3 linked regions of the Caenorhabditis elegans genome follow. The protein of the gene in region 1 purifies or fractionates together with the protein of each later gene. This does not show direct contact. Each region holds a gene or a part of one and is shown in the gene's direction. Other genes may lie near its edges.

Region 1 (6,393 bases):
TATATTTTTATATTAAAATTCAATTATTTATTGAAGAATCCGTTAAAATGAAATATAAAAATACGAAAAATGCCTGAAAACTAAAAATTGCTGCTCGAAATTTAAAAAAAATTAAATTCAAAAAATGAAGCCAGAGCGGTCCGTAAATCGACACGAATACAGTAACTTCGTTTCTTCCCCGCGGGATATCTTGCGCGTAAGATATGGCGATTTTTCTAGATGGATAAGTAATATCAGAATTAAATTGGATAACATTTTTATTCGAGAAAAAGGTAATAAAACAAGTAAAGTCGAAATTTTAATTTAAAAGTGGAAAACCGTGCCGCAAAATTGCGAAATTACGCCCCGCCTCTTTTTCTGTGCGGTGCTGTTTTTTCGATCGTTTAATTGCTCCTAAAATGCGGGGGAACTCTTTTACAAAAAAAATCCTCCAGAATCGACCCGCCACTCAAATCCAGGAATTCGACTTCTGAAAGTTCCGAACAGAGATTCAGACGAAGAATCGGAGAACTCATTCGACGACGGAACCACTCAGGATGAATCTGGAGTTAACGCGTTTTTCGGACAATTATCTGATGAGAAAGAGGAATCTCCGACGGCTGTCGAGTTCTCAATGGCTGCACATTTGACAGAATTTAGTCAACGACAGGCGGCTGCTGCGGCCAAGATGAACATGAAAACACCGGAGAAGAAGGTTGTGGAGATTGAAAGTGACGAGGATGATGGTGCGAATTTTGGAAATCTTTTGAAAAACCCACGAAAATTGTTGTTTCAGTTTTAAAATCCAAATTTTTTATATCAAAAATTGCCATAAATGTGTAGAAAAATGTTCGTTTAATCTGTAAATTTTCATTATTTTTTATGGAAAAGTTCGAAAAATGGCCTTTTTTGAGGTATTCTACGTATTTCACTAAAAAAACTAAAAAACACTAAAAAAAATATTATTTTCATCTAAAAAAAATATTATTTTCAGATTAAACGAACACTTTTCCACATTTTTATGTAATTTTCAAGAAAATCTGAAAACCCAATTTTTTAAATCAAAAATTGGCATAAAACGGTAGAAAATATTTGTTCAATCTGAAAATAATATCGTTTTTTTTTTGCGGAAAAGCTCGAAAAATGCCCTTGGTCAGGTATTTTTTTTTTAAAAATCGAAAAATCTAGAAAAAAGTAGAAAAGCCTCTAGATTTATCAAAAATATGTTGATTTTGATGAGAAAAACGAAGAATTGGTCATCAAAATATTGATTTTCATTTGAAACATAATTTATCAGATTTTCAGGAATTTTTCCGAAAAAAAATTTAAAGTAATTTTCAATTTTTACGGAAAAATGTGTAAAAATGATGAAAACCCATTAAAATTGCTAGAAAATCGAAATTTGCTTGGGAATTCAAAAATAAATCGGCTTTTTTTTGTTGTGAAATTGGAAAAAAATCTTTCTAAAATTTATTTTAAATAATTGTGAAACTTTTGCAACAAATATTATCGTTTCGGTAATTTCTGGCTATTTTAATTGAAAAAAGTCAAATTATCGATTTTTAAGGCAATTTTAGGGTTTCTTTCACACAAAACGAAGCAAAAAACTTTTTTGAAAGAATGAGAAATGGCTGAAAATGCGATTTAAAAAAAAAAAAATCGGAAAACTAAAATTTTAAATATTTTTACGCTCATTTTTGGGTGGAAATTCTATAAAATACCGATTTTCAGATCTCGACAGCAGTATTATTGCTCCGAACAGAGCCAAATCAAAGGATGACAGGAAAAGTGATGATAGTGACGATGTTAGTTTTATATTAATTTTTTTAATCGAATAAAATGAAAAAATTTCAGGATCTGAACGACGAGGAGGGTGATGCGGATCAAAGTATCTGGGGAAGCGACGATTAGAAACGATTATTTTTTTTTATTGCAACCAGTAAATATAATTATTTTAAATGTGATTTATAATTTTGTGTCATTCGGTTTTGTTTTATACCCACACCTTTTTTAAAAAAATATCTGAAATTGTTTCTTATTCGATTTTATTTTCTTTGGTTTTTTAAAATTACTTTTTTTTGGTTCTATTTCGATCCAAATTCATTTATTTTATTTTTTTGGAAAATTGGAAAAAAAACTGAAAAGAGCCCATTTTTTGAATTGCTGCTTTCTTCCTAGTTTCGACGTTTTCCTGTTATTTTAATTGATTTTCCTCTTTTATTATATGTAATTTGAAACATAATTTATCACATTTTCAGGAATTTTTTCCGTAAAAAAGTTACAAAAAATAACGTTAAATTATCGAATTTTACAGAAAAATGTCTGTAAAAATGTGAGAAAAACCAATAAAAATATCTGAAAAATGCCGAAATTTGCGCGGGAATTCAAAAATAAATGGATTTTTCTGTGCAAAATTGAAAAAAAATTAATAAATATGACTATGGCAATTTTTTCATTAAAAAAAAATTCCAATTTGAAACATGATTTGTCACATTTTCAGGCATTTTTCCGCAAAAAAGTTGAGAAATTATCGATTTTTAAGCCAATTTTAGAATTTCTTTCACACAAAATGTTAAAAAAAAAAAAAACAAAATTTCGAATTATAAAACAAAAAAACGCAAAAAACCAATAAAAAATAGCTGGAAAATGTCAAATTTGTTGAAAAATTGAAAAAATAATTTCAAAAAATTTAGATAAATTCTACAATTTTAGGAAAACCCATTTTCCTGCAATTTACCATCTAAAAAGCTCACAGAGACACACTACACTCCACCTTTAAAAGCAAACGCGCTCCACCGAACAACTCCCAATTTTTTCCATTTTTATTAGGAAATACTGGATAATATTGTGCGTCTCTCTCGAACGGCTAAAAAATGAGTAAGCAGCAACGGCGAAAAGGAAATGCAAAGGTTAGTTTTTCATTCCTTGGCTAAAATGAAGATGAAACGAGTTGTTCAGAATGCGAGCAGTGCGGCGGCTCACGAGTATTTGGCTCAAGGAGGAGCCACGTTTGTCGGGTTGACGCCTGAGATGAATATTTTCGAGGTGAGAGGCTATTTGGATTTTTTTAAGTGAAAAAATAAAAAATTCCCAATATTTTTCCTTTATTAAACCTTTATTTCCGCTGAAAAATTAGGGAAAATGCTCAAAAACTACTTTTTTTTTGCCATTTTTGAGCAGTTTTTCAAACTTTTCGGCAGAAATATATGTTATTTTCAGAAAAATGAAGTAATTTTTAATGAAAAATTATTTTTAAAAAAAGCTTTAAAAAAAGTCCATTTTGATTTTTTTAATTAAAAAAGTAATGAAATTCCCAATATTTTTCCTTTGTTTTTAACCTTTATTTCCGCTGAAAAGTTTGGGAAAATACTCAAAAATTAGATTTTTTGCCATTTTTTAGCACTTTTTCAAACTTTTCGCCGGAAATAAAGCAAATTTTCATATTTTGACACTAATTTTAAATGAAAAATGTTAGAAAAACCGATCAAAAGAGCAGTGCCGCACAGAAAAAGAGGCGGAGCGTAATTTTGCAATCCTGCGGCACGGTTTCCACTTTTAAATTAAAATTTCGATTTCACTTGTTTTATTGGCACCTGAGATGAATATTTTCGAGGTGAGAGGCTATTTTGATTTGGAAAATCAAAAAAATTTAAAAAAATTCCCAAGATTTTTCATAAAATAACATTTATTTCCGCTGAAAAGTTTTGAAAAATGCTCAAAAAATTTTTTTTGCCATTTTTGAGCACTTTTCGGCGGAAATAAGTGTTATTTTCTGAAAAATCAAGTGATTTTTGATAAAAAATGTTAGAAAAAACTATCAAAAAAGCAGGCGCCGCACAGAAATAGAGGCGGAGCGTAATTTTGCAACCCTGCGGCACGTTTTCCACTTTTAAATTAAAATTTCGATTTTTACCTGTTTTCTTTTCTTTTCTTTTTTCTAATAAAAATATTATCCAATTTAATCCTCATATTACGTATACATCTGCAAAAGTCGCCATATCTTACGCGCAAGATATCCCGCAGGGAAGAGACAAAATTACTGTATTTGTGTCGATTTACGGGCCGGGTTGGCATCATTTTTTGAATTTAATTTTTTTTTAAATTTCGAGTAGCAATTTTTCATCTTCAAGCGTTTTTATGTTAAAAATTCAATTATTTAATTGAAAAATCCATAAAGATGAGAAAAAAAACGAAAAATATCTGAAATTTGAAAATTGCTGCTCGAAATTTAAAAAAGCAGTAATTTTCAACTTTCAGATACTTTTCGTTTTTTTCCTCATTTTTATGGATTTTTCAAATAAATAATTGAATTTTTAACATAAAACGCTTGAAAATGAAAAATCGCTGATCGAAATTGAAAAAAATTAAGTTCGAAAAATGCAGCCAGAGCGGTCCGTAAATCGACACGAATACAGTAACTTCGTTTCTTCCCCGCGGGATATCTTGCGCGTAAGATATGACGATTTTTTGTAGATGGATAAGTAATATCAGAATTAAATAGGATAATATTTTTATTCGAAAAAAGAGAATAAAACAGGTAGAAATCGAAATTTTTATTTAAAAGTTGAAAAACCGTGCCGCAGAGTTGCAAAATCACGCCCCGCCTCTTTTTCTGTGCGGGGCTGATTTTTTTCTAACATTTTTCATTAAAAATTAGTGCCAAAATATGAAAATTTGCTTTTTTTTTCCGCCGAAACGTGCTCAAAAATGGCAAAAAAAATGCTTTTTTCCGAACGTGTCAGCGGAAATAAATGTTATTTTCAGAAAAAAAAATTGAATTGCATTATAATTTTTTCCAGGTGGCCAGCAGCAATCGACTCCATCAAGTAGTGGAAATCGACGACGAAACTCGGATTGTCATGAAAAAATTGACGAAAAAAGACTGTCAGACGAGAGAAAAGGGGCTCAAAGAGCTTATGGAACTGATAAACACGGAAAATAGTTCGATCGAGAGCTCCTATGAGCATTTCTGTGGACTCGTCGCCCAGTTGACCACAGATGGAAGCCCAACTGTGAGAATGCTCACGATGAAAGTGATTTCTCAGTTTTTGACAAAGTTAAAGAAATCTGCGAGTAAAGGATTGAAGAAAATCATTCCTTTCGTTCTTTTTGCAAAGTCTGATGTTACGAATGGAGTCGCTGCGGCTGCTTCTGCAGTTATTCGAGATGGATTTGATGCGGATAAGAAGCGACAAGTTGTGGAGCTCTTTGTGCCGAATACCTTTGATTTGGCAGCGAAAATTGCGGAGGGAAAGCATGAACTCTCGCTGCCAGCGGAATATGATGCTTCGGAGGATCTGGAAACGCGGAAAATGAGACTGGAGACGCAATCTTTGAATACATTCCTATCTTATATTAAAGGTGGAGTAGAGTCAGAAAATATATGTTTTGAAGGTGGAGCACCGAAATTTGAGACTTTGCTTTTTAGACCCAAAATTGGTCCAAAACTACCGAATTTCGTAATGAGACGTTCTGAAAATTTCTCAAAAAAAGTTACGGCGGTTCAAAGTTCTGCAAAATAAGGCCCATTTTCAGCTAAAATCAAATTTTTGCCAACTTCTCTGTGTCTCAGCGTCTGGAACTTAATTTTTATTTATTCATCACTTTTTAATAAATATTACGGTTTTTTATTAGCCGTTTATTCGTTGATTTTTAGTACATTTATTGTCAGTGGAGCACAAAATGTAACTTTAAAAAAAAATGCAACTTTGCGCCCCACTGACCATAAATGCACTGAAAATCAACGAATAAACGGCTAATAAAAAACCGCAATATTTATTAAAAAGTGATGAATATATAAAAATTAAGTTCCAGACGCTGCAACACCGAAAAGTTGGCAAACATTTTGATCTTAGCTGAAAATTAGCTTTTTTTTTCAAAAATTTGAACCGCCGTAACTTCTTTTTTGAGAAATTTTCAAAACGTCTCATTACGAAATTCGGTAGTTTTGGACCAATTTTGGTCTAAAAAAGCAAAGTCTTAAATTTCGGTACTCCACCCTTTAAATGATGAAAAAAAAAGACCCTAATGACCGAAAATGAATGTAAAAAAATTTGAGGCACCACGTTTTTAAAGGTGGAGCACCGAAAAATCTGGGAAATATTTTTAATCGACTCCACATTTTCCCTATTCCGAATATCTATGTGAAAAAATCGAAAAAAAAATCCGAGATTTTATATTTAAGCTTGAAATCACGATTTTCATTTGCGCACGTGCGCAAACCATGAGATTTTTCAAATTCGCTCCCAAATAAATTCGCATTGGAGCGCGCTTGCATCGTTTGATTTTCTTAGTTTTTTTAAAAATTTTTTTTCGTCGAATTCAATTTTTTTCAAAAGTTTCATTCATTTTTTGTCGAAAAAAAAGTTTTATCGGTTTTCTGAAAAAAAAAAATTTTTTCGTCAAAAATGAATA
Region 2 (9,699 bases), on another chromosome or scaffold:
TTAGCCGTTAGCCGAAAATTTTGAAATTAGCCGTTAGCCGGTTCTCAAAAAATCGGCATTAGCCGATTTATCCGTTAGCCGAAAAAATCGGTTATCCGCACACCCCTGCTGCCTACCCTTCCCAAATGAGCACATATTTGTGTGTGTGTGTGTGTGTGTGTGTGTGTGTGTGTGTGTGTGTGTGTGTGTGTGTGCTCATATATGTAATTACCACCCCCTCCCCCTTGTCATCAGGTTACCCAATCTCCTCTCTCACTACGTATTTATATATTCTCCCAGCTGCTCATAGAGCGCATTCTATGTGGATTTGCATTACGACCGCAGATTTCAATCACCAAAATTTCGCGCCAAAATTTTATATTTCACTTTAATATTCGAAACTTTAAGCTTTCTAGCGATCAAATGCTTATATATATATATATATATATATATATATATATATATATGTATTTATATACCAGCCGTGGACCGCACCTCCGGCGCGGCCCCCGACTTCTGTTGCTGAAAACCAATGTTTCTGAAACTACCGTAATCATACAGTACTCCTACCGTACCACCATTGTACCACTACTACAGTACCCCGACTATATCCCTACACTAACCCCAACTCACTATCCCTCCAGAAGCTAAAACTTCGCAGACTACAAAGACTACATAGACTACAAACTATGGACAAACGGAATAAGCGCTTTATATATAGTAAATTATATATATTAGGTCTCCAAATAAGTTCCGGGTCAAAATTGATAACTTTGTTCGCTGTGTATCAATTTTTATGAAACTTTGGGAATTTATGTTATCAACCATGATCTTTCATTTGACAATAGTCACAAAATTTTTTGACCACCCCAAGTGTCCTAACTCGGAGCCAATTTTTTCAGGCATTTTTCTGATCTCGGTTCTTTTCAGTTTTCAATTGAGCTTTGTGTGCGGATTTTGCTTTGTTTAGAATACATTATTAGAAAACAACAAAAGTTTGGAAAAAAATCCGCCCAAAAAATTTTTTTTTGTCGAAAATTCTTGATTTTTCCTACAAAAATGATGTAACCAAGTGTAAACTATTTTTACACATATAAATCATTTGAGTTAAAAATTTGAATCTCAAGAAATATTCAAAAAACTAAAAAATTATCCGAAAAAATTGTATTTTCTACTATCATTTTAGTGTATCGAACTAAGTTGATATGTTTTGTATGTCGAAAAATAGTTTACACTTGGTTACATCATTTTTGTAGGAAAAATCTAGAATTTTCGACAAAAATTATTTTGAACATTTTTTGACGACCAACCAAAAAAATTTTTTTTTGGGCGGATTTTTTTCCAAACTTCTGTTGTTTTCTAATAATCTAAACAAAGCAAAATCCGCACACAAAGCTCAATTGAAAACTGAAAAGAAGCGAGATCAGAAAAATGCCTGAAAAAATTGGCTCCGCGTTAGGACACTTGGGGTGGTCAAAAACTTTCGTGACTATTGTCAAGTGAAAGATCATGGTTGATAACGTAAATTCCCAAAGTTTCATAAAAATCGATACGCAGCGAACAAAGTTATGATTTTTGACCCGGAACTTATTTGGAGACCTAATATATATATACCAGCCGTTCGAACGCGCTGAAGCGCGTGCTCCGACTGGCGTACTCAAAATTGAAATCAAATTCTAAAATTTCTAAGCCTTTCTCTGTAGATGGAACGTTTTTTTTCTGTTTTCCGGAAGTTTTCGAGCAACATAAATATTATATAGCTGAGTGTTTACAACTAAAAAAAAACGTTTTTCAAATCATATAAAACTTTTTTCCGGTCCTTTCCGAGAGTTTTTGGCGAGCGTTTCTGGAAATTATAACAATTTTGATCTTTTTTTTTCAAATTATTGAAACTTCAGAATATTCTAGGAGTATCAAAACTTGAAGAAGTTTTTTTTTTTGAACTTTCCGAAAGGTTCTAGAAATTTGCAGGTTCCTGAAATTTTCCACGAAATTGAACACTTCAGAATTTTCCCGATTTCTCTAGAAAGTTTTGGAACATTCCAGAATTTTCTCGAATTTATTTTTCTCAGAAAATTTGAATTTCCAGTCAACGAAGAGCCTTTGTCACAAAAACGACATATTATTAAAATTCACAGAATTTCCTAAATATTCCCTTCCTAAACATTTTCTCGTGACCCATGTGCTTCTACTCGTATTGGTGGCATAAAAACTGTATTTATTCACAGTTTCAGTCTTAAATTGGCCGAAAATGTGAATAAATACCGTATTTCTGCCAACAATTTGACAATAGAGCACATTTGTCACTCGGAGATGCGGAAGCTATGCCCAAATTTTCATTTTTCCCCCGAAAACTTGTATAATTTTTCAGGTAACCCGTGTACCGTACTCCCACGTGGCAGCCTGTCAAAGTTATATGCTATTCTACGAACGTGTCAAACCTCATCGACTCTACGAAAGGATGTAATTTCTGGATTTTTATTGATTTTTTTGAGAAAATTTTTTTTTTGGAAATTTCGCAATTTTTTTCCCAAACAATTGATTTATTTTGTTGCTAGATTCCCCTTATTTTTTGTTGTAAATTTTAACATTTTAATGACACAACGTGTAGCATTTCCTTTAAAGTTTATTTTTTGTGCAAAAATTCAGAAAATTTGAAAAAAATATTATAACTCTTCCCCCCGTCCCGTGCCATTTTTGTTAAGTTTTGTGTGTGTGTGTGAAAATGAAGATTTTTCGTGTTTTTTCCACTTTTTTTAGTTAATTTTTAAAGGTTTTCAGCCGTAAATCAAATATTTTAATAGAAAAAAAAATTTTTTTTGGAAAATTTTCAAAAAAATTTTTTTTTTTTTTGGTTTTTTTCAATTTTTCAAATTTAAGCATGACATCTCTTATTTTCCAAAAATTCAAACTATTTCCAGCTTTTCCAGCTCTAAAAAATGGACGAAAAGTTGCCAGAATCAGTGGACGTAGTGGTGCTGGGCACCGGACTACCTGAAGCCATTCTGGCTTCAGCTTGTGCTCGAGCTGGCTTATCTGTGCTTCATTTAGATAGGTAATAGGCGAACTAACATTTAAAAAAAGTTTAAAAAAATGAATGAATGAAATTGAAAAAAAAAAAATTTTTGCGAAAAAAAAATTATTTTCGGCTAAATTTTTTTTTTAATCATAACTTTTCCTCAAAAATACAGCAAAATTCGAATTCTCCACGTCGCCAGCTTCAATTTGATCCCCAAATTGCCTATATTCCGCTGGTTTTGAAGTTTTCGGGTCCCGCCACGAAAACTCCTCGGGTTACTGTAGTTTTTCGCGGCGGGACCCAAAATAAACGGATTCTGGGCATGATGGGGGTCATTTTGAAGCTGAGAACCTGATGAATTCAAATATCACATTAATTTTCGGGAAAAATCAGAAAGTAAAAATTTTCTGACCAAGTTTGTGGAAAATTTTTCGGAAAACGTCAAAAGTTTCCAATTTTCGAAAAATGTCAGCCAACTGATATCATATTCGAGTTCTCCACGTCACTAGCTTTAAAATAACCCCCCACCATGTCCATATTCCATTGATTTTGATTTTTTTGGGTCCCGTCACGGGTTACTGTAGCACCGATTTCAGCTGTGTCGATTGTCAAAATACACCGAACCTAGGCGTGTTGGGGCTCATTTGAAAGCTAATAACGTTGAGAAATCAGATTAATTGTTCGTTTTCGGAAATATCGAAAATTAAACAAATTTTAAGAAAAAAAAATATATATTTGCCAAAACATTTTTCAATTTTCAGAAATTTAAAAAATCAGAATTCTTTCTGAAATCTTCACGTTACCAGCTTTCAAATGACCCCCATCATGCCCATATTCCGCCTACTTTGAGAATTTTGGGTCCCGCCACGCGGGTTACTGTAGCACCGATTTCAGCTGTGTCGGTTGTCAAAATGCACGGAACCTAGGCGTGTTGGGGGTCATTTGAAAGCTGATAACGTCTGGAATTCGAATTTCATACTCGATTTCTTGAAAAATTCGAAATAAAAAATATTTTTGCAGAAATGAGTACTACGGCGGTGATTGGTCATCATTCACAATGTCGATGGTTCATGAAGTGACTGAAAATCAGGTTTTTATTGATTTTCAGCCAGAAAAACCCCAAAATTTCCGAATTTTCAGGTAAAAAAGCTGGATTCCTCGGAGATTTCCAAGTTATCAGAGCTTTTGACTGAAAATGAGCAGCTCATTGAGCTCGGCAATCGAGAAATCGTGGAAAACATTGAAATGACGTGGATTCCACGTGGAAAAGACGAGGAAAAGCCGATGAAAACGCAACTGGAAGAGGCTTCACAAATGCGGCGATTTTCCATCGATTTAGTGCCGAAAATTCTACTTTCCAAGGGAGCAATGGTACAAAATTGCAAAATTACACCTAAATTGGAGAACTTGATGTTTTGCCCTAATAGTCATCAAAAAATCAATTTTTGCCAAAAAAAAAATTTTTTTTGAAACTTTTTTTCTGAAAAAAAAGAAAAATTTTTCTAAAAATTCAATTTCCTCATTTAAAACTCTGAAATTCGAATTCTCTACGCCACCAGCTGTCTAATGACACCCAACATGCCCAGGTTCCGACCGCTTTGAAAATTTTGGGTCTCGCCACGCGGGTTACTGTAGCATCGATTTCAGCTGTGTCGAGACTGCCAAAATTCAAAATCAACGGACCACGGACATGTTGGGGGTCATTTGAAAGCTGATAAAGTGGAGAATTCGAATTATTTGCTAGTTTTCTGAAATATCGAAAATTTAAAAAAATTGAAAAATATTTTCCAAAAAATTGTCAATTTTCAGAATATTCAAAAATTAACATTTTTTCCGAGATCTTCACATCACCAGCTTCAAAATGACCCCCATCATGCCCTGGTTCCATGCAATTTGATTTTTTTGGGTCTCGCCACGCGGGTTACTGTAGCACCGGCTTCAGCTGTGTCAAAACTTCCAAAAGTCAAAATCAACGGAGCCGGGGCATGTTGGGGGTCATTCGAAAGCTGAGAGCGTCGAAAAATTCGAATTTCCGCATTATTTTCAGATATTGAAAAGTTTGACAAAAATTTATGGGAAAATTTTGAAAATCTTGAAAAAAATTTGGAAAAAAAAAACGATTTTCTTCCAATTTTTTGAATTTTTTCAGGTTCAAACACTCTGTGACTCCCAAGTATCCCATTATGCCGAGTTTAAGCTTGTCAACCGGCAGCTATGCCCAACAGAGACCCCAGAAGCCGGAATTACCCTAAATCCGGTGCCATGTAGCAAAGGAGAGATTTTTCAGAGCAATGCTTTGTCGTAAGGGATTTTTTTAGGCTGAAAATCGATAAAATATCGATTTTCTTTGCCAAAAAAATCGATTCGCAATGATAAATCTCCAAAAATTCTTCCAGAATCCTGGAAAAGCGAGCTCTTATGAAATTCATCACATTCTGCACACAATGGAGCACAAAAGACACGGAAGAAGGCAGAAAACTGCTCGCCGAGCACGCCGACCGCCCGTTTTCAGAGTTTTTGGAGCAAATGGGCGTTGGAAAGACCCTGCAGAGCTTTATTATTAATACGATCGGCATTTTACAGCAAAGACCCACTGCGATGACGGTGAATATGCGGAAATTACTGTTTTTTAGAAAAAAATCTGAATTTCTAAAAAAATTGAAAATGAAAAAAAAATCCAAAATTTTTTTTTTTGCACGAAATTTACTTCAATTTTTTTCAAAATATTATTGAAAAATTTGAATTCTCGCCACTCTCAGCTTCAAAATGACCCCCAACATGCCCGGGGTCCGTTGATTTTGAGTTTTGGCAGTCTCGACACAGCTGAAACCGGTGCTACAGTACCCCGCGTGGCGAGACCCGAATTTTCAAAATCATCGGAACCCGGGCAGTATGGGGGTCTTTAGAAAGATGATGATGTGGAGGATTCGAGTTTTGAGTCGATTTGAAAAGAAATTTATAATTGAAAAAAATTTGAGCAAAAAATTATTTTTTTTTTCGAAAAAATGTTGATTTTGTCTATTTTGCTAAAAATTTTTGAAAAATTCAAATCTCTAACGCTTTCAGCTTTACAATGACCCCCATCATGCCCATTTTCCGTGCAGTTTGCGCTCCGACACAGCTGAAACCGGTGCTACAGTACCCCTCGTGGCGGGACCCAAAATTTTCAAAATCGATGGATCATGGGCATGATGGGTGTCATTTGGAAGCTGGTGATGTGGAGAATTCGAATTTCGAGTTGATTTTCATGTCAAATTTGAAATTGAAAAAAATTTTGAGAAAAACAAATTTTCAAAAAAAAAAAAAAATTTTTTTCAAAATTTAAAATTTTTCCAAATTCCAGGGAATGTTGGCATCATGCCAGTTCATGGATTCTGTCGGCCATTTCGGTCCATCGCCATTCCTCTTCCCACTCTACGGATGTGGAGAGCTCTCACAGTGCTTTTGCCGGCTGGCAGCAGTCTTTGGGAGCTTATATTGTCTGGGACGGCCTGTACAGGCTATCGTGAAAAAAGATGGAAAGTTAGTGAAGAGAATAAGCGAAAAATCAATAGTTTCTGCGAAATTTGACCTAATTTTCAAGTCAAATTCCCAGCAAAACTAGTTTTATACAATATTCCGTGACTCATGTGTTTCTACCCAGATTGATGGCATAAAAACTGTTTTTATTCACATTTTCAGCCTTAAATTGTGCTGAAAATGTGAATAAATACCGTATTTCTGCCAACAATTTGACAATAGAGCACATTTGTCACTCGGAGATGCGGAAGCTATGCCCAAATTTTCAATTTGTCGGAAAACCAATTTTCTCAAAAATTTCCAGAATTACGGCTGTAATTGCCAATGGAGATCGTGTAAATTGTCGCTACATCGTGATGTCCCCGAGATTTGTCCCCGAAACTGTTCCAGCTAGTAGTACGCTGAAAATCGAGAGAATCGTCTATGCGACGGATAAATCGATTAAAGAAGCCGAGAAAGAACAGGTTCCGGAGCATTTTTTGGAGTTTTCCACCAGGAAATTCGATTTTCCCGCAAAATTCCACTCTAGAATTCAATTTCCCCGGGCTTCTAGCTCAATGTTACAATTTTTGGGGTTACTGTAGCGCCAAAAGTACGTTGACCTCGGTGCTTGCGTACCTGAGACCGAATTTTACGAAATTGAGCTTAAATTGGCTGAAAATCATGTTCCGGGGTGAATTGGCAACGGGAAATTCGAATTTCGCATTGAAAACCACCTTGGTCAACTGGTTTTCGAGAAAAATTTAATTTTACTCGAGAAACCAGTGCTCCTAGTTGATTTTCAATGCAAAATTCGAATTCCCCGTTGCCAATTTACCCCGTAACTGAAATTTAAGCCAATTTGGGTTCAATTTCGTAAAATTCGGTGTCAGGTACGCAAACACCACGGGGGCATCGCGTACTTTTGGCGCTACAGTAACCCCGAAAATTTCAAAATTGAGCTAGAAGCCTGGGAAAAAATAATTCTAGAGTGAAATTTTGCGGGGATTTCGAATTTCGTATTAAAAATCCGAAAAAATTTTCAGCTAACCCTCCTCAATCTGGCATCTCTCCGGCCCGACGCCGCAGTCTCACGGCTTGTTGAAGTGGGCTTTGAAGCCTGTACGGCTCCGAAAGGACACTGTAAGCCCCCACGTTTTTTCCTAGAAAAATAAAGATTTTTTTTTTGCAGTTCTGGTGCATGCAACGGGTACCCAAGAAGGAGAAACAAGTGTCAAGACTATTGCAGAGAAGATTTTTGAAAAAAATGGTGATTTTCGCGGAATTTTTAGGGGGAAATTTTGAATTTCCACTACCGAAAACCTATTTTTCGCTTAAAATTTGAGAAACTTTCATGGAAAAGTCATTTCCAAGTGAATTTTCCCTAATTTTAGGTGAAAAATTCGAATTCTCCGCTATAAAAAACCTATATATCCCCACGGGGAATCGAACCCTGGACCTTTTGCTCCAAAGGCGAGCCGCTTAGCCACTGCGCCACGCGTTGCAGCTAACCAGTGATGCATGTTGCACCCCGTGGCGCAGTGGCTAACAGGCTTGACTTCGGAGCAAATGGTCCCGGGGTTCGAGTCCCCGCAGTGGTGTATAGGTTTTTCATAGCGAACATTTCGAATTTTTAACTTAAAATTCGCAAAAATTGAGTTACAACCTAGTTTCCTGAAATTTTCGCTCGAAAATGATACAAAATCCATTTTTTTGAACTATTAATATATGTTAAGCTTCAAAGTTCTAAAATAGAGACTCCAAGAGTTGAAATCTCAGCAAGGATTCAGTGAAATTTTGAGAAAAATTATTTCCAAGTGAATTTTCCCCAATTTTAAGTGAAAAATTCGAATTCTCCGCTATAAAAAACCTATACACCCCCACGGAGAATCGAACCCCGGACCTTTTGCTCCAAAGGCGAGCCGCTTAGCCACTGCGCCACGCGTTGCATCACGCGCCGCTGGTTCGGCGCACCGGTGGCGCAGTGGCTAACAGGCTTGACTTCGGAGCAAAAGGTCCGGGGTTCGAGTCCCCGTGGGAGTATTTAGGTTTTTCAGGGCGGAGATTTCGAATTTTTCACTTAAAATTCGCGAAAATTGGCTTGGAACCCGGTTTTTCTTTAATATTTTTGAGTTTTTCGATTTTTCCTAGAAAAATCGATATTTTTTCTGCATTTCAGAAGTGGAACCCTACTGGAAGATGAGCTTCACCGCGAATTCCATGAAATTCGACACCGCCGGAGCCGAAAATGTCGTCGTCGCGCCGCCAGTTGATGCGAATTTACACTATGCTAGTGTGGTGGAGGAGGTTAGGGCGAAAGAACGATGAAAATTGGATTTTTGAGCTGAAATTGAATTAGAAATTCAAATTAGAAAAAAAAATTTCGAAAAAATATAAAAATTAAAAAAAAAAAATTTTTTTGAAAAATTTTTCAGAAAATTTTTTTTTTCGAAAATTTTTTTGAATTCAATTTTTATCGATTTTTCTGAATTTTAAACACCTGCTATATATCCATTTTTTCCAGTGCCGCCAACTATTCTGCACAACTTGGCCCGAGCTCGACTTTTTGCCAAGAGCCATGAAAAAAGAGGAGGAAGAAGAGGAAGAGCCGGAAACTGAAGAAATTGCAGAAAATTAATTGAAAATTCGAGTTTTCCATGTAAAATTACCCCCAGACTCCCGTTTTTTTTGGCGATATTTCACTTTTTTGTGCATTTTTTGTAAATATTTGAAGAATATTTAACCATTTTTCATTGATTTTATCGATTTTTTCTGGGTTTCCAGCCTATTTTTTTACTTACTTTTTGAACATTTTTAATCATTTCAGCCCAAAACCCCCTCATTTTAAGCAAAAATGGACGAAGAAGTAGTGTTAGAATTGGCGTCCCAACAAGCCATCAAGTTTTTGCTCGCCGAGCCAAAATTTGCGGAAAAATGGCAGATGGAGATAGCGAAAGGACTGAGGGAGGACTTAAAGGTGAGATTTCTACAAAAAATTTAAGAAAAAACTTCGAAACCCCGAGGTTTTTACGAAAAAATCCATTTCTAGGCAGATTTCCATAGATTTTAAGTAAAAATTCGAAATCTCCGCTATAAAAAACATAAATACCTCCACGGGGACTCGAACCCGGGACCTTTTGCTCCAAAGGCAAGCCGCTTAGCCACTGCGCCACCGGTTTCCCAGCCAGCGGCGCGTGCTGCAC
Region 3 (6,684 bases), 2.0 Mb from region 1:
ACATCTCAAAAGAGGAACGACTTCATTTATTGAGAATGATGGGAGTGGATTGTGCTGAAATTGAGCTTTTGATGAAGAGCAAACGAAAGGAGAAGGTGAGCAAAAGCGATGAATTTCGAAAAATATTATCAAAAAATTGGGAAAATCTAAAAAATTTAAAAAAAAATGCTAAAAATTTGAGTTTTTCGACTGAAAATTTCAGCATTTTCGAACAATTTTCAAATTTTTCCAAAAAAAAAAAAAATTTTTTTTGAGAATTTTACTATAAAACTTTTAAAAATTATTTTTAAATTATTTTTATAGTTATTTTTTTGACTTCCCGCCCAAAAAAAGACGTAATTTGGTCATTTTTGAGCTTTTTCGCCTTTTTTTTCGCTGAAAAATATCTAAAAAATTTTTAATTTCATTTTAAAAAATTCTGTGTAGAAAAATTAATAATTTGAACATTGAAAAAAAAACGTAATTTTAAAAATTTAACTCAACTTTTTTGGAAGTTGTCTTTTTTTTTGCACATGAAAATAGTCAAAATTTAGAAAAAAAATTAACAATTTTCTTTTTTTTTCAATCGGCAAACCGGCAAATTGCCGAAAATTAAGGATTCCAGCAAATCGGCAAATTGCCAAAATTTAAAATTTCTGCAAATTGCCAGAATTTTAAATTTCCGGCAAATCGACAAATTGCGAGAAATTAGAATTTTCGGCAAATCAGCAAACTGGCAAATTGCCAGAAATTAGAATTTTCGGCAAATCGGCAAGCCGGCAAATTGCCAGAAATTAGAATTTTCGGCAAATCAACAAACTGACAAATTGCCAGAAATTAAAATCTCCGGCAAATCGGCAAATTGCCAGAAATTAAAATTTTCGGCAAATCAACAAACCGGCAAATTGCCAGAAATTAGAATTTCCGGCAAATCAGCAAACTGACAAATTGCCAGAAATTAAAATCTCCGGCAAATCGGCAAATTGCCAGAAATTAGAATTTTCGGCAAATCAGCAAACCGGCAAATTGCCAGAAATTAGAATTTTCGGCAAATCGGCAAGCCGGCAAATTTCCAGAAATTAGAATTTTCGGCAAATCGGCAAGCCGGCAAATTTCCAGAAATTAGAATTTTCGGCAAATCAACAAACTGACAAATTGCCAGAAATTAAAATCTCCGGCAAATCAGCAAATTGCCAGAAATTAAAATCTCCGGCAAATCGGCAAGTTGCCAGAAATTAAAATTTCCGGCAAACCGAAAAATTGCCAGAAATTAAAATTTCCGGCAAATCAGCAAATTGCCAGATAGTAGAATTTCCGGCAAATCAGCAAACCGGCAAATTGCCAGAAATTAGAATTTCCGGCAAATCGGCAAGCCGGCAAATTGCCAGAAATTAGAATTTCCGGCAAATCAGCAAACCGGCAAATTGCCAGAAATTAGAATTTCCGGCAAATCAGCAAACCGGCAAATTGCCAGAAATTAGAATTTTCGGCAAATCGGCAAGCCGGCAAATTGCCAGAAATTAGAATTTTCGGCAAATCAACAAACTGACAAATTGCCAGAAATTAAAATCTCCGGCAAATCAGCAAATTGCCAGAAATTAGAATTTTCGGCAAATCAGCAAACCGGCAAATTGCCAGAAATTAGAATTTCCGGCAAATCAGCAAACTGACAAATTGCCAGAAATTAAAATCTCCGGCAAATCGGCAAATTGCCAGAAATTAGAATTTTCGGCAAATCAGCAAACCGGCAAATTGCCAGAAATTAGAATTTTCGGCAAATCGGCAAGCCGGCAAATTTCCAGAAATTAGAATTTTCGGCAAATCGGCAAGCCGGCAAATTTCCAGAAATTAGAATTTTCGGCAAATCAACAAACTGACAAATTGCCAGAAATTAAAATCTCCGGCAAATTGGCAAATTGCCAGAAATTAAAATTTCCGGCAAATCGGCAAACCGCCAGATTGCCAGAAATCAAATTTTCTGCAAATTGCCAGAATTTTAATTTTCCGGCAAATCGGCAAATTGCGAGAAATTAGAATTTCCGGCAAATCAGCAAACTGGCAAATTGCCAGAAATTAGAATTTTCGGCAAATCAGCAAACCGGCGAATTGCCAGAAATTAGAATTTCCGGAAAATTGTTATTTTTAGAAAAATAGGATAATTTGAAAATTGAAGAAAAAAAACTAATAAAAAAGTTTAACTAAATTTTTTTGGAAGTTTTCACAAATTGTTAGTAATTTCATGAGAAATAAGTTAAATTTTTGTCCAAAAAATCAATTTTTCAGGCCGCCCAAGACCGTGAAGCCGCGTGGGCTCGCAAGGAAGAAGCCGCAAAGGCTGCGGAGCCGTCCAGCAGCTCAACTGATGCTCCAGAATCTGCTGAAACTCTGGAAATTCCAGAAGAAAATGTTCAAGAAATGACTGAATAATTTGTTTTTTTTTTGTTATCTCTTTTTTCTCCTTTAATTTATCTCCATTTATCCCCTACACAGTTATAAATTCTGCTACGTGGCCGTGTGGAAAAAACTCGGCCACCGATTTTTTTTTGTTCCCTCACGTGGTGCCAAAGTGTTTCATTTCTGTTTGATCTACAAAAAATGCGGGAATTTTTCCCCAAAAAACTGTGACGTCAGCACGTTTTTAATCGTGCAAAATCAGTTGAGAACTCTGCGTCTCAACTCCCGCATTTTTTGTAGATCTAGGTAGATCAAACCGAAATGAGACATTCTGTCACAACGTGTTCCCTTTATTGTTGTTGCAGTTGTTATTTGATTTTTTTTTTTGAAAAAATTTGAATTTTTTTTTCAGATTTTTTCCTCTGATACTGCTTCAAAAACTAAAGTTGTTGAGATCACACTATGATATTTTCTAGATTGTTTTTTTAAAATTTAATTGTTAAAAAAATCAGATTTCAGAAAATGCGAGCTGAGCTGCTCGGATGTGGACACACGGGCGAGGGACAGCTCGGCGTTCGGCTCTCCGAGTCGACGATTCAAGTTCCCGAGAGAATTAGTACGGAGCTATTTTTGTTGCAGAAATTAGAAAACAGAAAAAAAAATTAATTCCGAAATTAAATTTTAAAAATTAAAAAATTTCGGATGAAAAAAAAACAATTGGAAGATTTTTGTAAATCTTTCACAAAACTTTAAAAAAAACTTTTTTAAAGAAATAATGGCAAACCGACATTTTGCCGGAAATGGAAGATTCCGGCAAACCGGCAAAAAGCCAGAAATTAAAATTTTCTGCATATCGACAATTTGCCTAAAATGAAAATTTCCGGCAAATCGGCAATATGCCTAAAATGAAAATTTCCGGCAAATCGGCAATTTGCCTAAAATGAAAGGTTCCGGAAATCGGCAATTTTCCTAAAATGAAAGGTTCCGGCAAATCGGCAATTTTCCTAAAATGAAAGATTCCGGCAAATCGGCAAGTTGTCAAAAATGATAGATTCCGGCAAATCGGCAAAAAGCCAGAAATTAAAATTTTCTGCAAATCCACAATTTGCCTAAAATTAAAATTTCCGGAAATCGGCAATTTGCCGAAAATGAGAGATTCCGGCAAATCGGCAATTTGTCAAAAATGATAGATTCCGGCAAATCGGCAAAAAGCCAGAAATTAAAATTTCCGGCAAATCGGCAATTTGCCGAAAATGATAGATTCCGGCAAACCGGCAAAAAGCCAGAACTTAAAATTTCCGGAAATCGGCAATTTGCCGAAAATGAGAGATTCCGGCAAATCGGCAATTTTTCAAAAATGATAGATTCCGGCAAATCGGCAAAAAGCCAGAAATTAAAATTTCCGGCAAATCGGCAATTTGCCTAAAATGAAAATTTCCAGCAAATCGGCAATTTGCCTAACGAAAAAAAATTGATTACTTTGGAGCAAAATTGTATGCATCTTTAAAAAACTCTTTTTTTTTGAATATTTGTTTAAAAACTGTGTGAAAATAGTTTAAAATCGTCTCGGAATTTTCTCTGAAAATTGTTCAAAATTTCAGTTGGCGCTCCAAATGATATGGATGGAACCGCAGTGACGTCAGTCACGTGTGGTGAACAACATACAGTATTCCTGACAAAAGATGGCAAAATGTGGAGTGTTGGTAGTAATATGGATGGACAATTGGGACGAGGCAGTCGGACTGAGGGTTCTTTTTCGATTTATCCGGTTTCTTGGACAAGCAGTGCGAAAATTATTCAGGTAACTTTGAGTTTTTTTTTTGGCGAAAATCCATTAGAAAATGATTTTACCATATTTTTTCGCTAAATAACATTTGAAAAATAAAAAATTTTTCGTTTTTCCCTAGTTTTTGGCGAGAAAATCCCGTAGATCTCATTTTTGTAAACTCTTTTTCCGTGGAATCCCCTTTTCTTAGATTTCCATCTCGCAGATCCTCTTCCCATAGTTCCCATTTGCGTAAATTCTCTTCTCGTAGATCCCCGTTTCGTAGATCTCCGTCTTGTTGATCCCCTTCTCGTAGAATAGCAAATTTCTAGATCCTCTTCTCCCAGATACTCTTTTGGTAGATTCACTTCTCGTAAATCTCCTTCTCATAGAATTAATTTTGGTTCCCGTTTCGTAGATCTCTGTTTCGTGCAAGCTCCCTTCTCGAAGATTCCTTTGCCGTAGATCTTCTTTTCGTAGATCACCCTTCTCGCAGCTCTCTTTTTTGTAAATTCTCTTTTCATAGATCTGCCTTCCATAGACTTCCCTTCTCGGAGATCTCCTTTACGCAGAACGACGTTTTGTAGATCCTTTTCCATAGATTCTCCTCTCGTAGAATGGCTAATTCCTAGATCCTCTTCTCCCAGATCCCTTTTTTTGTAGATTCTCTTCTCGTAGATCTCCGTTTCGTAGATGCTCTTTTTTGTACATATATTTTCCATAGATCCCTTTTTGCCTTTAATGTAGATTTTTTCCATAATTACCCTCTCCGTAGATCTCCTTCTCGTAGATCCCATTTCCGTAGAATTCCCCCTTTCGTAGATCCCATTTTCAAAGATAGCCTTTCCGTATAATCTCCCTTTCGTAGATTCGATTTTCGAAAATAATAATCTCGCAGATCCCCTTCTCATAGATCCCCATCTGGTTGATCACCTTCTCGTAGATGCTTTTTTCATAAATTCCCTTACTTCAGATCCATTTTCCGTGGATCTCCTTTTCGCAGAGCCAATTTCCATAGATCGCCTTCTCGTAGAAATTCCATTTTTCAGATCTCTGCTGGCCGTTCTCACACAGTCTCCGTAACCGACGATGGGCGTGTCTTCGCTTGGGGCTCCAATGAGCACGGACAACTCGGAATGGAGAGTAAATTCACGTGGCAGGGAACACCACGACGTGTTCAAGAGATTAATGATATTGTACAAGTGGCGTCTGGATCCAATCATTGTATTGCGTTGGATGAAGGTAGAAATTTGGAAATTTGTGAAAAAATTCAAATTTTTGCTGGAAAAGTCCAAAAAGTATCTCAAAAACCTGAAAAATTGAAAAATTTAGTAAGGGGATATGGTCGGGGTACTGTAGTAGTACTGTAGGGGTACTGTAGGAGTACGGTAGGATTACTGTAGTTTAGGGAAATTTGACTTTTTCTCTTTTGAATGGATATTGGTTTGGGGTTAGTGGGGGGGATATGGTCGGGGTACTGTAGTAGTACTGTAGGGGTACTGTAGGAGTACTGTAGTAGTACTGTAGGATTACTGTAGTTTAGGAAAAATAAACTTTTCGTCTTTTGAAGGAATATTTGTTTTCGAATAATTTGCAAAAACGGAAAGCTGGATTTTTTTGAAAATAAAAAATAAAAATGTAATCCCGCTTCAACGCCAAAAGAAAAGTTGGGTCTCGTTAGGAATTGGCGGCGAAATTTTTTGCTAATTTTTGCTAATTTTGAAGCATTTTTTGTTGCTTTTAATAATTTTTGTACCAACGACGACCAAAAAATCATGGAAATCCAGAGAAAAACCGATCAATTCTGAATTGAAATTTGAATTGCCGCGCTCATTTTTCAAATTTTCCACGCTTATGAAAATGGTTTGAATCAGGGGAAAAATTCAATTTCAGCTACTACTTTTCTTGATTTTAGCGAATTTTTCTCGCTTTTATTTATATATTTTCATAAGTTTCAGTACCTGAACTATTCACGTGGTGCCAGGCTGTCCCATTGCGGTTTGATCTACAAAAAATGCGGGATTTTTTACCAAAGAAAATGTGACGTCATCACGTTCTTAGCCATGCGAAATCAGTTGAGAACTCTGCGTCTCTTCTATCGCATTTTTGTAGATCTGCGTAGATCAAGCCGAAATGAGACTTTAGGAATTGTTAAATTTTTTTGTTGATATTTCGAATTTTCAAAGAATCTTGATTAAATATTTACTTTTTGTTTTGAAATTTTCCTTTAGAAAAAAAAACAATTTATTTAAATAGTCATCGTAAATATACACACACACTTATATCCTTCTTTTAAATCGCTTCTTCTTAACGTCCTCCGACTGGGTAGGCTCCTCCGGCTGGGGCTCCGTATGATGGAGCTGGAGCAGCGTAGGCAGTATGCTGGCTGTATGGAAAACAGGGGTGTGCGGAGGAGATAACCGATTTTTTCGGCTAACGGCTAATTCGGCTAAAATCAATCGGTCAGATCGGCTAATTTTCGGCGAATTCGACGAATTCAGAAAATATTCTATTCATCTGGTTAAGCTTTTTTCGTTCTTTCTGTT

The links.
Region 2: the proteins of Y54E10A.11 (region 1) and rep-1 fractionate together in Caenorhabditis elegans (co-fractionation; one large-scale study listed by BioGRID). This does not show direct contact.
Region 3: the proteins of Y54E10A.11 (region 1) and herc-1 fractionate together in Caenorhabditis elegans (co-fractionation; one large-scale study listed by BioGRID). This does not show direct contact.

The regions. Positions count from the first base shown.
Region 1 is NC_003279.8:3,189,156-3,195,548, reverse strand, and holds the start of Y54E10A.11 (E3 ubiquitin-protein ligase listerin), read left to right. Parts: upstream 1-2,691; 5' UTR 2,692-2,852; coding exon 2,853-2,888; intron 2,889-2,937; coding exon 2,938-3,024; intron 3,025-4,778; coding exon 4,779-5,340; intron 5,341-6,393. Other genes in the region: syp-5 (PH domain-containing protein), read left to right, coding at 435-725, 1,711-1,784, 1,834-1,890. UniProt on the Caenorhabditis elegans protein: E3 ubiquitin-protein ligase. Component of the ribosome quality control complex (RQC), a ribosome-associated complex that mediates ubiquitination and extraction of incompletely synthesized nascent chains for proteasomal degradation.
Region 2 is NC_003281.10:1,567,406-1,577,104, forward strand, and holds rep-1 (Rab proteins geranylgeranyltransferase component A 1), read left to right. Parts: upstream 1-2,900; 5' UTR 2,901-2,918; coding exon 2,919-3,034; intron 3,035-4,018; coding exon 4,019-4,088; intron 4,089-4,138; coding exon 4,139-4,369; intron 4,370-5,147; coding exon 5,148-5,299; intron 5,300-5,394; coding exon 5,395-5,602; intron 5,603-6,341; coding exon 6,342-6,520; intron 6,521-6,821; coding exon 6,822-6,981; intron 6,982-7,542; coding exon 7,543-7,639; intron 7,640-7,688; coding exon 7,689-7,766; intron 7,767-7,927; exon of another isoform or gene 7,928-8,000; intron 8,001-8,024; exon of another isoform or gene 8,025-8,097; intron 8,098-8,369; exon of another isoform or gene 8,370-8,445; intron 8,446-8,466; exon of another isoform or gene 8,467-8,539; intron 8,540-8,675; coding exon 8,676-8,803; intron 8,804-9,020; coding exon 9,021-9,134; 3' UTR 9,135-9,233; downstream 9,234-9,699. Other genes in the region: Y67D2.2 (Ubiquitin carboxyl-terminal hydrolase), read left to right, coding at 2,351-2,446; Y22D7AL.7 (Talin_middle domain-containing protein), read left to right, coding at 9,351-9,473. UniProt on the Caenorhabditis elegans protein: Substrate-binding subunit of the Rab geranylgeranyltransferase (GGTase) complex. Binds unprenylated Rab proteins and presents the substrate peptide to the catalytic component B and remains bound to it after the geranylgeranyl transfer reaction.
Region 3 is NC_003279.8:1,208,600-1,215,283, forward strand, and holds the start of herc-1 (HECT domain-containing protein), read left to right. Parts: upstream 1-2,885; 5' UTR 2,886-2,895; coding exon 2,896-2,989; intron 2,990-3,974; coding exon 3,975-4,174; intron 4,175-5,187; coding exon 5,188-5,380; intron 5,381-6,364; exon of another isoform or gene 6,365-6,445; coding exon of another isoform or gene 6,446-6,524; exon of another isoform or gene 6,525-6,571; coding exon of another isoform or gene 6,572-6,587; intron 6,588-6,684. Other genes in the region: nsun-2 (tRNA (cytosine(34)-C(5))-methyltransferase), read left to right, coding at 1-95, 2,263-2,406; Y48G8AL.16 (Fungus-induced protein 1), read right to left, coding at 6,446-6,524.